Drosophila melanogaster: one gene and its partner. The protein of the gene in region 1 purifies or fractionates together with the protein of each later gene. This does not show direct contact. Each region holds a gene or a part of one and is shown on either strand. Other genes may lie near its edges.

The links.
Region 2: the proteins of fliI (region 1) and CG8578 purify together in Drosophila melanogaster (affinity purification with mass spectrometry, with the first as the bait; 2 studies listed by BioGRID). This does not show direct contact.

The regions. Positions count from the first base shown.
Region 1 is NC_004354.4:21,338,025-21,345,622, reverse strand, and holds fliI (flightless I), read right to left. Parts: upstream 5,883-7,598; 5' UTR 5,730-5,882; coding exon 5,676-5,729; intron 5,513-5,675; coding exon 2,358-5,512; intron 2,123-2,357; coding exon 1,972-2,122; intron 1,849-1,971; coding exon 1,438-1,848; 3' UTR 535-1,437; downstream 1-534. Other genes in the region: dod (dodo), read right to left, coding at 1-3, 115-172. UniProt on the Drosophila melanogaster protein: May play a key role in embryonic cellularization by interacting with both the cytoskeleton and other cellular components. Alternatively, it may play a structural role in indirect flight muscle. Vital for embryonic development.
Region 2 is NC_004354.4:15,842,522-15,848,401, reverse strand, and holds CG8578 (uncharacterized protein), read right to left. Parts: upstream 3,927-5,880; 5' UTR 3,871-3,926; intron 3,766-3,870; exon of another isoform or gene 3,730-3,765; intron 3,076-3,729; 5' UTR 3,021-3,075; coding exon 2,934-3,020; intron 2,761-2,933; coding exon 2,476-2,760; intron 2,419-2,475; coding exon 2,055-2,418; intron 1,994-2,054; coding exon 1,835-1,993; intron 1,446-1,834; coding exon 1,261-1,445; intron 1,200-1,260; coding exon 1,089-1,199; 3' UTR 544-1,088; downstream 1-543. Other genes in the region: sun (stunted), read left to right, coding at 398-423; ArgRS (Arginyl-tRNA synthetase), read left to right, coding at 4,321-4,362, 4,421-4,549, 4,613-4,959, 5,018-5,347, 5,411-5,880.

The sequences.
Region 1 (7,598 bases):
TTCCTGCAAAATCAATCATGATCAATCAAGTGCAGGTTCAGTTTAGCGTGCCGGTTCCGCATTCCGCCGGAAAACCGCCGGCATGGCACGAGCGGGACTGCACACGATGCTTACCTGTGGAGCGGCTAGTGCGCTTCTCCCAGCCGTCCGGTAGTTGCTCGGCATCTGGCATGCTGTTTTCACTTAATTTGAGTTAAATTACAAATAGTTTTCGGAATAAAATAAACCACCAGTGTGACCGCGCCGAACACGCTTTGAGAACATCCATCAAAATCGATAGCGCCTGCCATCGACATATCGATACACATGGTGGCGAATTCGCCAAATAAGGTGCTGGCACGTGCTAACTGCGGTGGGTGCACTCGCTAACCGCAGATACAGCTGAGGCCAATATAATAGCAGCGAACTAACAATAATGTGCTGATATGTGCTATTCTGATATGTTATATGTATCTTTTGCCGAAAAATTAGCACATAACTTAATTAAATCTATTCCAATACCTCCTTCAATCCGCGACACGAATAGAGGAATTTCAATTTTTCTAATGTTTATTCAGGGGATTAATAAAAATAAAATAAATACGTGGGCATTTGTACAATTAGTTTTAGTGCTTCCTTGACTTTATTACAGGCTAGCTTTAAGTAGGTTAACATTTTAAAAGGACTAGCACAGGGGAGTAATCCTCTCAGCTCAGCGTATGTATATATATATATATATATATATATTGCGTATTTGTAGGCATATGTGATATACATACATATGTATGTATATTTGCATTCAATATACTCATGTGGTTTTCTCGCAGGGAGTGGGCGAATACTTGGCGTTCTTGGAGTTAGCTAATTATTTAGTTAGGGGCGGGAGCAAGTGAGCTAATAAAAAAATTTAAATTAATTATACAAAACAATTAAATACATTTTATAAAAGTACAAACACACGATCTTCACTCACGACCTGAAGGAAGGGCTTGGCTTGGCCCTTTCATTCTTTTTCCCTCGATACAATTTTGCTTTGTCATGTCTTCTGGGGCAGCTACTCTGTCACGGCAGCTGCCCAGCGCATCTTCCCAGCGAACAACATTCGCATCCGGCTAACAGAGGTCTAACTTAATGCTTAATGACCAATTTACAACTCGATGGGGCTCCTCTAACGGGCTAAGATTAGTGGGTAACACCTCTAAGGTGCCTCTATTCATTTCATAAAACTAAACTCACATTGCAGGCGTGCTCTTCGACTTCTGGTTAATAAATGCACTTCCCGAGGCCGATTCACTAGCTCTGACAGGGACTCGAAGGCGCCAATCGAGACAAGCAAGACAAAAACTAGCGCCTTTTAGGCGCTTTCCTTGCGGAGACCTAAATGGCCACATAGCGGCGGTGCATGAATTAGGGAAATTTAAAAGAACTACTCGACGATGCTCCTTCAGTTGGCTAAAATTATAAATACACCTTGAAGGCGCTCCAGCCGTGGAAGCACTTGGTGAAACGGCGCGACTCCTTGTTCTTCATCGTGAGGAAGAGCTTCCTCGGCCGCTCCGGCTGCTTGATCCGCATGTGCTGGATGTAGACCTGGGCGGACTTGTAGGCCAGCTTCACCTCCACCTCGCTGCAACGCGGTCCCATCCACAGGAAGACGTGCTCGCCGTTGTCCAGGATCATGATATCGTCGTCGGCCAGATCGTCCTGGCAAAAGTCGGCGCACTTCTCGGCCACCGTGTAGTAGCCGCGCTCGTTGGAGCACCGGAACAGCCGCGTGTAGTTCATGTACTCGGCGTCCGTATCGTAAGGCTTGCGGCCGCCCAGCGCCACCCAGAAGAAGTTCTCCGGCTCGTCGCCCTCGTTGAGAATCTGCAAAGGATGGATGAAAAGAAACGATTAACAAGAGCGTGTACCTTAATATAAACATATGTACAATATATTCCACAAAACAGCCCACTACATGGTTGAACCACATTAACACATGGAACCCACCTGTAAGCTCACCCACGGCGAGTTGAACATCTGCTCGGCAATATCCTGCACCAGTTTGGCCTCTTCGTTGCAGGCCTTGCTGCCTATCCACACGTACACAATCCCCGACTGCGAATCGTCCTCCGTTTCAAATGGCACATGGAGTATGTAGCTGAAATAATGCGTATGGAATATAAATATTGGAGCGACTACTACTATGTTCGCTATCTTTTGGATATATATAAATAATACTGTGTCATATCACGTAGGCTTCCAGGAATTTCAGTTTCAACCAACGATAAGACAAGAATGTTGATCCAATAAAATCGCACTTGTCATACATCTCAAAAAAAAAAACTGGGTGATTATTACCACCCACAGTAATAAATTATTGGTAATTTGCTCACCAGAAGGTTGAGTTGAGATGCACTGCATCCGGATTAATTTGGATAAGGCGAGTGGTGAGCGCACCGCCGTTCGATCGCAGGTGAAAGAACTCAACTGGCGACTTGCCCTTCGCGGTGTGCGCCTTGTCCTTCCGCTTGCCGGTGTGGATGATGAACTTCCGCTTGAAGTGGGACATGAACTTGAGGTTCTCCTGCTGCTGGAAGATCCGCACCACCTCCAGCTCCTCGCCGAACATCGCCTTGAACTTCTTCTGCAGTGTAAAGGTAAACGTGAGCCATCCCATATTGCCGGCATTGCGTCCCTGCCAAAAGTAAACGACGCACTGGATCTCGTCCTCTGGCTGATTGTTGGCGCTGGATTTACTGACGTCTGCGGCTGGGTTAGCACCATCTTCGGAGCCATTCTCGGGCTCCTCGATGGGAATGCAATAGCGGCAGAGGAACACATAGCATTCGCCGGTGTAAAAGCGACCCAATTCCTCCTCGGGCAGCCGGACGAACTTCTTGTTCTCCAGTACAAAGGCCTCCATCATCTCCAGATCGTAGTTCCACTCCTCCTCCAACTGTTCCGCCTCCGCCAATGGCATGGCCGACTGTCGGGGCATAAATAGCGCGGCAAGATCCGTGCGCGTCTCCTGCTGCCGAGCCCACTGTGTGAGATTAGCCCCTGTCTTGGCCACCGACTTCGCCGTTCTCGTGAAGTCCACGGCCATTACCTCATCCCAGCCAGCGAACTTGGTTCGGAAGATCTGCATTTCATTGCCCTCGGGTACACGCATCACCAGCGCATAATCCGGACGATCCATCATGTTAAAGAGCTCCCGACTCAACTTGACAGCGGCCGCTCGGACCAAACGCGTCGACTTCTTGCCAAACCAAACGAACAGATCGGTGTAACAGTCGAGTATGTAGACGTGCTTGCTATTTAGCAAGGTATGGCAAAGTTTTTGCTCAGGTAACTCCACTTGCGGCAACTCCAGATAACCCATGCCAAGTTGCACCTGGTAGAGGCGAGGCTGCACCGGCTGATAGTCCTCTGGAACGTGCTCCTTTGGTGGCTCTGCGGCGTCTGCCTCCTCCGAGGTCATGCCCAGTCCTTGCCAGAATTCGGCACTCTCCTCGCCCTGCCGCTCCAACTGGATTTCACATTTGTTCTTGCGCTCCGTTTTGCTGATCTTTTCCGCCATTAACCTGGCCTTGGAGTTCAGCGTGTTCTTCGATCTTTCGCCCATCCAAATGTAAATATGGGTGCCCAGATCCAAGACAAAGGCGTGGCGGGGATCCAGGGAGGTAATGGCAGGAGCCACTGGCTCCAGATGAATGGTAGCGCCATAGGCGTGCACTAAATACAATCTGGTGATGTGTATCATCTCTTCTATGGTATAGAAACCAGTAGCTGTGCGTCCGCCCTCGATGTAGATGACTTCCGTCTCGAAGAGGGACAGAAACTGCTCGGATTCATCGCCCTGCTCCTCGCGAACCGTTCGACATCGGGCGCCCAGAAAGTTTCTTAGGTTCACTGCATGAATGGCAGCGCAAGCTCGTTTGTCCAGCGTGGCTTCGTTGCCTATCCAAAAGAATATTTCCCAATCGAGCAGGCCCAGGTCATCGAACTTGGTCTTGAGGACTATGTAGCAGTCGCCCTCGTAGAATTTGCCATGCACCACCTCCTCAATTTTGTTGGGCAGGAAGTTCTCGATTTCCCAAATGGTCAAGCCCGGCAGCTGGCCATCGTCCTTCTCAAAGAACTTGGAGTAGTCCAGTTGCGGTTTTTCCAGTGACTCGTCCCATCTCTTAGGTTTGAGCGACTCTGGCTTTCCGTCCTCGGGCACAGCACCCGCCTCGTTATCCTTATCCTTTGCCACATCCTTCATGCCCTTGAGCACCTTGGCAGCATCCTGATCGCCTTCACTGCGAGGACCGCGTCGTAAACGTATTTTCCTCGCCGTTGAATCCTTGGGCGTTGCTGACGATGGCATGGAAGGCGGCACAGCAGCCCCAGCTAACCGAAGCTGAGTCTGCAGACTAAAATCTATGTTGTAGAACTCAAGACTGGTGGCTTTACTCGCTTCGCTTGGCTTGGGCGGCATCACTAGCTCCGGATTGTTGCGCAAGTCCAACTGGTCTAGGCCCTCCAGCAGGTGAATGGCATCGGGCAGGGTTATAAGCCGATTGCAGCTCAAGTTGAGCTGCTTCAAAGCACCGCATCGGCAGAGTCCCTCTGGCACCATTTCCAGCAGGTTGTTGGCTGCCGAAAACACCTCCAGAGCTCCGAGTTTGCCGATGCCCGAGGGGATGCCCTCGAAGTTTAGCTTATTGTCGTTCACCAGCAATCGTCGCAGCTTTGGTAGTTTGCAGAGGGCAGCCGGCAGCGCAACCAATTGATTCCGCGACAGATTCAGCGACTCCAGACGCTGCCAAAGCTCTACACCGGCAGTCAGTTCGGTTAGCTCGTTGTCGCTCAGATTCAGTCGCACCAAAGTGACCACATTGTAGACGCAGTCTGGCAGCTTGGGCAGCGAATTGTGCGACAGGTCCAGTTCGCAGAGATTGGCCAAACTGTCTATGCTAGTGGGAAAATTGAGGAGCGTGCGCTGCGTGCCGCTCATCTTCAGGACCTCCAAGCTCTGCAGCGAGGGCAATTGCCGCAGTTGAAACAGCTCCAGCGGATTGTGCGATAGGTCCAGGGTTTTCAGATTAATCAGACGTCGCGTCTGCGGCGGCAGTGTCTCCAGTCTATTGTGCGACAGATCCAGGAACAGCAGATCCGTTAGATGGATGAACAGCGGCGTGGGTATGCTCTCGATCTGATTGTTGCTCAGGTTGAGGACTATCAGGTTCTTGGCCCGCTCCAAACCCTCGGGCACCTCCTTCAGTTTGTTGTGCGACAGGTCCAGCGTGGTCAGCTCCTCCAGGTGAAACAGCTCCGGCGGTATGCCGCTGTTCTTCAGCTGATTGTGCCGCAGGTCGAGGGATCGCAGGCAGGACAGCTCTGTCAGCTCGCCAAAGATCTTCTCCAGTCGGTTGTGGTTCAGCGACAGGTGCTCCAGCTTCTGTAGGTGGCCTAGCTCCTCGGGAATCTCCGCCAGCTGCGTGCGATCCAGTGTGAGCCACTGCACCCGCGACATCTGCCGCATGGAGCTGGGGAATGTTGCCTGCAATGGAATCAATCATATTTCGGGATTATCTCTGCTCCGCACTTATGACTAATGCTCAGGTGCTTCTCGGTGACCTGTTTCTTAGCTTCTTTTTTTTTTAGAACCTGAACCACTCCGAAAAAACAACAAGGCTGCAACTGTTTTTGCTGGTTGTACTCACGCTGAAATCATTTTTCGTAAAGTCCACACCGCGCACAAACGGCAGCACGCTCATTTTGACCACATAAAATGTTATATTTGTTTTATATTTGGGCTCAAGCTGCTGGCCCTGTTTTTCGTTTCTTCTTCTTTATTTTGTTTTTTTTTTGCACTAAAAAAAAGAAGACTAAGTGGTGACCGTTCACCGCTCACCCGAGCAAACGGCATGGTCGCACCTTCGTATGCAGTTGCCGGAACTGGCCACACTGCGCATTTTACGAGGGTTAGGCAACACTAAAGTGTTGGAAATCACAGAAGGCACACTCGCGTTGCACTTCGTAGGTTTGGTGCAGCTGATTTATCATATAGAAGGGGAGCTTTGTGGGCTTAAAAAATTTGGTTCATATACGGCAATAATTACATTTGTGACCAAAATAGAGTTTCTCGCCTTTAAATATTAATTTTGCATGGCTTTTAACGGTACGTCCACCACTGTATTATACGAGCTTAAGTCGAGTGTGACCGTTAATGTCTAAAAATGGTGTGGCTAATTTAAAAATTATTTTGAATTCCCGGAACCGAGCTAAAAGCGACTTAAGTTTTGGAGTTTTTGATTCTTTTTGAAAACAGAGCCGTTAGTTTCAAATGGTCCTATGGACTTACAAATAATACGTTGAAAACTAACGGAGTAAGTGATTGAAACCAAGGTTTTTGTTTTTGATTTATTTATTATTTATTTAAAGAAATTGAAATACACATATAATTTGTATAAACTAAATTTGATTAACTATACATTTGATGTGTGCCTTAAGACTTAAATATAATAAATTCCTTTTTGCTGATCTGTGAGAGCCGAACGCTTCGGACTATGTTAGTTTGCTCAAAACGGTCACATTGGATGGGGTTCGGGTTTTTCGAAGGGTCCTTTTCGTCCTGCGAAAAAACAGTAACATCGTATCGTGAGCATAATCCAGAGGGTGTGACCAAATTGAACGACACGAAATTTTCATACTTTGCCCAGTCTTCGGAATGTGAAGGTCCTCGCTCGTGTGTTTTGTTGCCTTTGCACCGATATTGCAAAAACATAAAATCAAACCTAGCCTCAAAAACAATACAAACCCGAATGAAATTTAATAGATACGCCAGAAATACGACAACTTGATTGAATTAATGCCAACTGAAAATAGTGCAGCAAAAAGTAATAATTTCGAATTTTTTGCCGATACACTCGGCACTAGGCTTTGTTTGTTGTGGAAAATTGTGTACCCCCGAAAAAGGGAGTGTTTTCATTTGGCGTCGTTCGTCACTTGCTCGAACGCCAAATTGTTGGCGAATTTCATTTATTCCGTTATTGTGTGGATGTATGCGTGCGTGTGTTATTGTTGCATTTGCCGTTGTACAAACGCAAACGCACTTTGCAGTTGGTGTGTGCGCGTCTGCGGGGCTGGGTGGCGGCGACGGAAGCGATGTGGGCGGGGCGGCGGAAAGTGGGCGCAGCAATTACGAGAGAACTGCCAAAAGGAATAAGGATAAGAAGAGGATGGGGATGGTGATGGAGAAGGGGAAGCAGTGGCCAGAGCAGAGCGAACTTTTAATCAATAGATATACAAACGCACGCGCAGCCGCGTGACCGTTACTCGCACACTCGCTTTCGCCTCTTTGCCATGACTCTCCGTTGCTGCTGCTGCTGGGGGTGTTGGTGTTGTTGCTGCACTGGACGAAGCAGGAAGAGGAAGACAAGTGAACAAAATTGCTATTGCGCTGGGCAGCATCGTTCGTCCTCAATCCGAAATCAAGTAAAATAAATTTGGGAAAAAGCATTGGAAAATAAAAAAATCCGCGTTCGCGCAGTTCATTTAATTCACTTAACGGAATAAGTACATACAGATGTAGCTCAAATACATCAACCGGCTGGCCCGCGGCTTTGTTTTTAATTTAAAAGTGC
Region 2 (5,880 bases), 5.5 Mb from region 1:
TAAAGTAATAGAATTTATGTTTCATATTGCGTCATATTTGAATATATTTTTCAGATGAAAGGGCTTAGGTGTTCCATCGTCAAATTAATAATTTAAAAACTGGCGTAAGTGCCTGCCGCGGCAGACAAAACCCAAATTATCCCAGCGTTCGCATTAAACTCAACGACAGTTTATGTATCTAACTTTGTTCCCAAAGTTTCTAACTACGCTTACAAGCTGATCTGCATGCAAATGCGATGTGTTTACATATAATATAATGTTTATATTAATATACATATATATATCCCAAAATTGCCCGCCCCAAAAGTTTACAAGCGACCAACTATTAACTATTTCTTTGTGATGAAAAACTATTATCCAAAGCAAATGCTGATTATTGCCATTTTTCTGTCCGCAGAGCGTCAAACCCAATCGGAATCCTAGATGCTTTTCAGTGGCCACTCGAGAATGATTCGCAACAACTAAGATCCGCCGAAGCTGCAATGTTGTAAAATCATGAAAAATAAATAAAATTAAATAAATGTAATTTATTTAAACACGATGATTTTAATTGTTCTTAAATGTGGCATTTATTTGGGCGTTCCGTTTAGAGATCGCGACCGATGAAACGGACTTCTAGCAAAGATTTAAATATAGACTCAATAGAATATTGTAATTTTGAAAAGAACTATTGGTCAGGTTCACCAGAAGCCTTTTAATTGGGATCAGTGATAGGTTTCTTGCTATAATTTTGTCAACGCATATTTGTATAGAATGATTTTATACACATAATGCTGAACCAATTGAATTGTTACTTATATTTTGCGCTTTAAATATACACATATAGACATTATTTATGTTAATTATTATCCAGTTAGTTTATATTTTAATTTAAATATATATATATATATATTTTTAAGGTAGAGTATTTTGGATTATCCTTCAAAAATTATCGATTTGCTACCACTAAGACCGATTAAATTGCTACCGAAGTGCTATTTCAATTGCAGCATGTTGATTTGTGTGTTGATGATGTCGTGTACTTGCGTTTCCTATGTCATCGGGTGCGATCCTTCAATGGTTGGCGAGATTGCATTTCCCATCTTAGATCATAAGTCCTTTAGAATGGCACTCTTTGCGTTTTTCAACTTATCGAGGCGTTTCAACAAATGGTTGTTGGACGTTTCAGCTTCCTCCAACTTCTCCAAGAGTTCCCGGTGCTGCGAAATGGATTAGCTAGATCATAAACTGCTCATTTCGCTTGGCATTCCCACCACTCACCTCGCGTTGCAGCTTGCGGCGCTCCAGCTTCAGCTCAGCCTCCGCCTTTTCGGCAGCTTCTGCGGTGCTTTTGTATCGGATTACTTGAGTTTCGGAGCGCGCTAGGCTCGACTGTAGGTTGGCGATTTCCTGTTCCGCCTTTTGCAGCTTATATTTATGGTCTGAAATGATTTTGTTTGTTTCCCCTGTCGGATAGTATAAGAAAAAGGAAGGGCTCGTAATATAGTACAAATATGTTGCAGTCCTATAGTGCCAAACTGCAATAGTTATATACAATTTATTGTTTTAAAAAACTGAAGATATATGGAGATACACAAAAGTGCGAGAGAATGTGGCCGATCAATGCGATCGGAAATATAAATGATATATATATATATATATATTGCTTGAAGCCATGTTATCAAATAATAAAAACTACAAATAATACGATTTGAATATCGTTCAAATTTGAGCAAGACTCGGTTAGTTATTGTGTGCTGCCAAAAAGGGCTGCTAGTTATAAAAAAGATAATCACTGCGGTGCACTTTACATGCTGAAAGTTTAGTTGGCATTAAGTAAGTATGGTACACGTACGTTGGGCCTCGTAATCATTCTCATCGCCGAAGGAACCTTGCGAAAGACTGCGGCGTCCGGAAATTCCATCACTTTTATACTCGTCAAGTTGTTCGTGAAGCTTCTGCACCTCCGCCAGCAGCCGCTGCTTCTCGTCACTGAACTTTTTAAGTCTAACGTCTGCAAAGAACTCGAACTGTTGTTAAATGATCTCATCCAGGTGCAAATGGGGGATAATCACCTAAAGAACCCTGCACGGAGGCCAGCACCTTGGCATTCTCGACACTCACTAGAGCTCGCTTGGCATCGCTGCCATCGGCATTTTCAACTGCTACAATTAGAAGGCCCTGTTCGGCGATCAACGAGTCGCGCTCGTTTAACTGCCCTTGTACTAGCTTAAGCTCGAGATTGGCGCGATCCAGGTTGCGTTTGAGGGCATTGCAGTCACGCATCTTCTCCTTGAACTCGCGCTGTAGTTGTGCATACGACTCTTCCATTATTTCGCATTTGTCCTTCAGTAGCTTGACTTCGTAGGCCTGCGAGGCGCGATCGTTGTCCAACTGGGCGTTCGTTATCATGGCTTTGCGAAACCGCTCCTCAACATCCTGAAAGCAGAACCACTTAAATCACATCGAAGTGATGGCTGCGATGTCAGCACCCACCTTAAGCTCGTGCTTGAAGTCGCGAAAACTTCTGCCCTCCTCCTCCACGGAGTCCTCACTGCTGCGGCGGGATGCTGATGCACGGGTCACGTTTAACAGTCCGCCGTAGGCGAGGCGCACGGGATGCGCCGACAGAGTTTCGCTGCCCACTGCCGTGGAGTTTTGCATGTCGAAGACCCGGTCGGCGGTGATCTCCTGCTCTTTCTGCTGCCGCTCCAGCTCCCTCATGCGAATCTCGCGGGCTTCGGCGCGCGCCTGTCGACGCGCAGCAAGTCGCGCTTCCGCCTGAAAAGAAGGGAATCAGTTTCATTTAAATCAACTAATTGATAGAGTTTCAATTATGCGACCCTTTGCGGCTGTAATTCTCTTGTGTTAACCGAGCACGTACAAATCGCAGTTGATAGTAACAATTTTAATATTTACATTGAATGCTATGTTTTGGGATGTAAAATACACACCTCTTTCGTAATTTGATCCAGCGCATTGTCTTCGGCATTGATTCGCATGTTGTTCCGTCGCCGACCTGTGGTGCTGATACTTTCCATTGAATCTGTGCTCAATTTAACTATATTTTATATATTAATCGCAAGCGATCGCACGCTAAAAAGAAGCAACTTGTTAGTTTCAAGTCTATAAGAATGCACTAAGAATTCAGTTTCGATTTGAACCCATTGAAAGTGATAACAAGGATCATATTGCGATAATTCCAAAGAAAAGTCCATTGAATTCAGCCACTAACTTATAAATAAATATAATAATTGCAGAGACAGCATTTCTGGTGCTGCTCTTTCGGTGTCCAGCTCGTTGAAACCTCCTATATTGGTAAACATTTTGGAATGTCCTAATTGATGATCGTGTGTGGTATGATAATGGATACCTTATCATCGGAACGCACTTTGTTATCTAGCAGAGCTGACTCACTTATATAAAAACCGGTGAATATATAGTCCCATTGTCACCAAGCAAGCGAACATGCAGATAAAATGCGTATCAGATGATGAAAATAAAGTAAACTTTTTTTTTGCATTGCGCTGCATAATGGTTTTTTCTTTTTTAACTTTTACAAATTCCCCATCGACACTTGGCAATTTGGTGGCACAGATGCAAGAAAACTAGTTTATCTCCTGTTTATAAATAGGATGTATCCGTCCGTCGTTCCCGGTGAATATGTTTTTATCCACTATTTATATTTGTAAAACAAAAAAAAACCGTCTGCATTGCAGTTTTAATTTTAATGGGAGCGGCGTTACACACATCTGTTTTCCCAAGTTTTCACGCACGTATCTTTCGGGGACTGTGTGTAGCACACATCAAAGAGTTTAGGTTGCGGCCCCACTAGACTATAGGTATTTACACAAAGGTGACAAAATCTATAAATTAATTAAACACACATACACATAAAAAGTTTTAAGAGACACCTTAAGCGAAAGAACAATCACAATTAATCATAATAGAGGTGGTCGATAAGTCGATCTATCGATAAAAATCATAAGTGCTATGTGAACCCGATGCGATTTTTCCACCGCACACAGCTGACATTTATCTAAGCAATGCTCTCAAATGTGCCATAAAAAGCCTGCCATACATACCGACATCTACAATTTTAGAGGTGATTTTAAAATGCACACACAATACAATTTGTCTGTTGCATAGTTTAACTGTCAAATGAGAAAATCTTTTAAATGCCAGTGGGAAAAACGACATCCTAGAAGTGACTGTGAGGCGTGACATCACCAGCTGTTATCGTTATCGATAGGCGACGTGTGCACACTACTTGCCATCCATGTGGCATCGTTGTGTTGTTGTTATTAATCAGCGGAGCAACAGAAGTCACAATTTGGAAACATGTCCGAGCTAAATATGGAGCTGAAAAAACTCAGGGAGCTGGTAAGCGAATAGCTGTTACTTTACGCCAACATTTTGACATGACATGCCGGCTTTAAAGGAACTGAAGACCCAAGGCCTTGCCGCCAGAATACAAACTGCCAAAAGCGGTGAACAGTTGGACGTCGATCTTGTTCAGCTTCAAATTGAAAATAAGAAGCTGAAGAACCGCCTGTTTATCCTAAAGAAGGTGAGTTTATGACCCCCAATGTGTTTAAGCTTAAGAATTTCATGTCTTTTATTTCCCTGTTAGTCCATTGCTGAGGAATCAACTGCCGCCGGCGGCGACGTTTCGAAGCCCAAGGAATCCTCTTCGATCACCGAACACCTGGAAAGCGTCTTTCGCCAGGCGATTGCATCAGCTTTCCCGGAATTCAGAGATACGCCTGTTATAATTGCACCAGTTAATAGTACGTCTGCGAAATTCGGCGACTATCAGTGCAACAATGCCATGGGATTGTCCAAGAAGCTGAAAGAGAAGGGCATTAATAAAGCACCACGTGATATTGCAACCGAGTTGAAAGGACACTGCCCAGCATCACCAATCATTGAAAAGCTGGAAATTGCCGGAGCTGGCTTCGTAAACGTGTTCCTTAGCAAGTGAGTGGCATAAGTACACAAAGTCCATTATAAACATTAAAAATGTTAATTTTTGCAGAGATTATGCATCTTTAGCCTTAAGCAATCTATTGCGTAACGGTGTCAAGCCGCCAGAAGTGATCAAAAAGCGAGTCCTGGTCGACTTTTCATCGCCCAACATTGCCAAACAGATGCATGTCGGTCACTTGCGGTCCACGATCATTGGCGAGTCGTTATGCCGCTTGCTGGAGTTCCTGCAGCACGATGTGATCCGCATCAACCACCTGGGTGACTGGGGAACACAGTTTGGCATGCTGATTGCCCATTTGGAAGATCGTTTCCCCAACTACCTAAATGAAAGCCCTCCGATCAGTGATCTGCAATTGTTCTACAAGGAATCCAAGAAGCGGTAAGACTTGTAACATTACGAAGTAATTACGATGTGCTCGAGGTAAATAATACTTCCTTGCAGATTCGATGAAGATGAGGAGTTCAAAAAACGTGCCTACAGTCGAGTGGTTTCATTGCAGAAAGGTGTGCCGAACTCCATTAAGGCGTGGGAGCTAATTTGCAATGTGTCGCGAAAGGAGTTCCAAACGATCTACGAACGATTAGATATTAGCGTCAAGGAACGGGGGGAATCGTTCTACCAATCACGTATGCTGTCCGTTGTGGAATACTTGCGAGGCAAGGGTCTGCTGGAAGTGGATGAAGGACGCGAGATCATGTGGCCAGACGATACGAAAACTGGCATACCTCTGACAATCGTGAAATCGGATGGCGGCTTTACCTATGATACCTCTGACATGGCAGCCATTCGCCATCGCTTGGAGGAGGAGCTTTGCGATTGGATCATCTATGTGGTCGACTCCGGCCAAAGCACGCATTTTAATACCATATTCAAAGCTGCCGAACGATCTGCTATCCTAAATCCACTCAGCC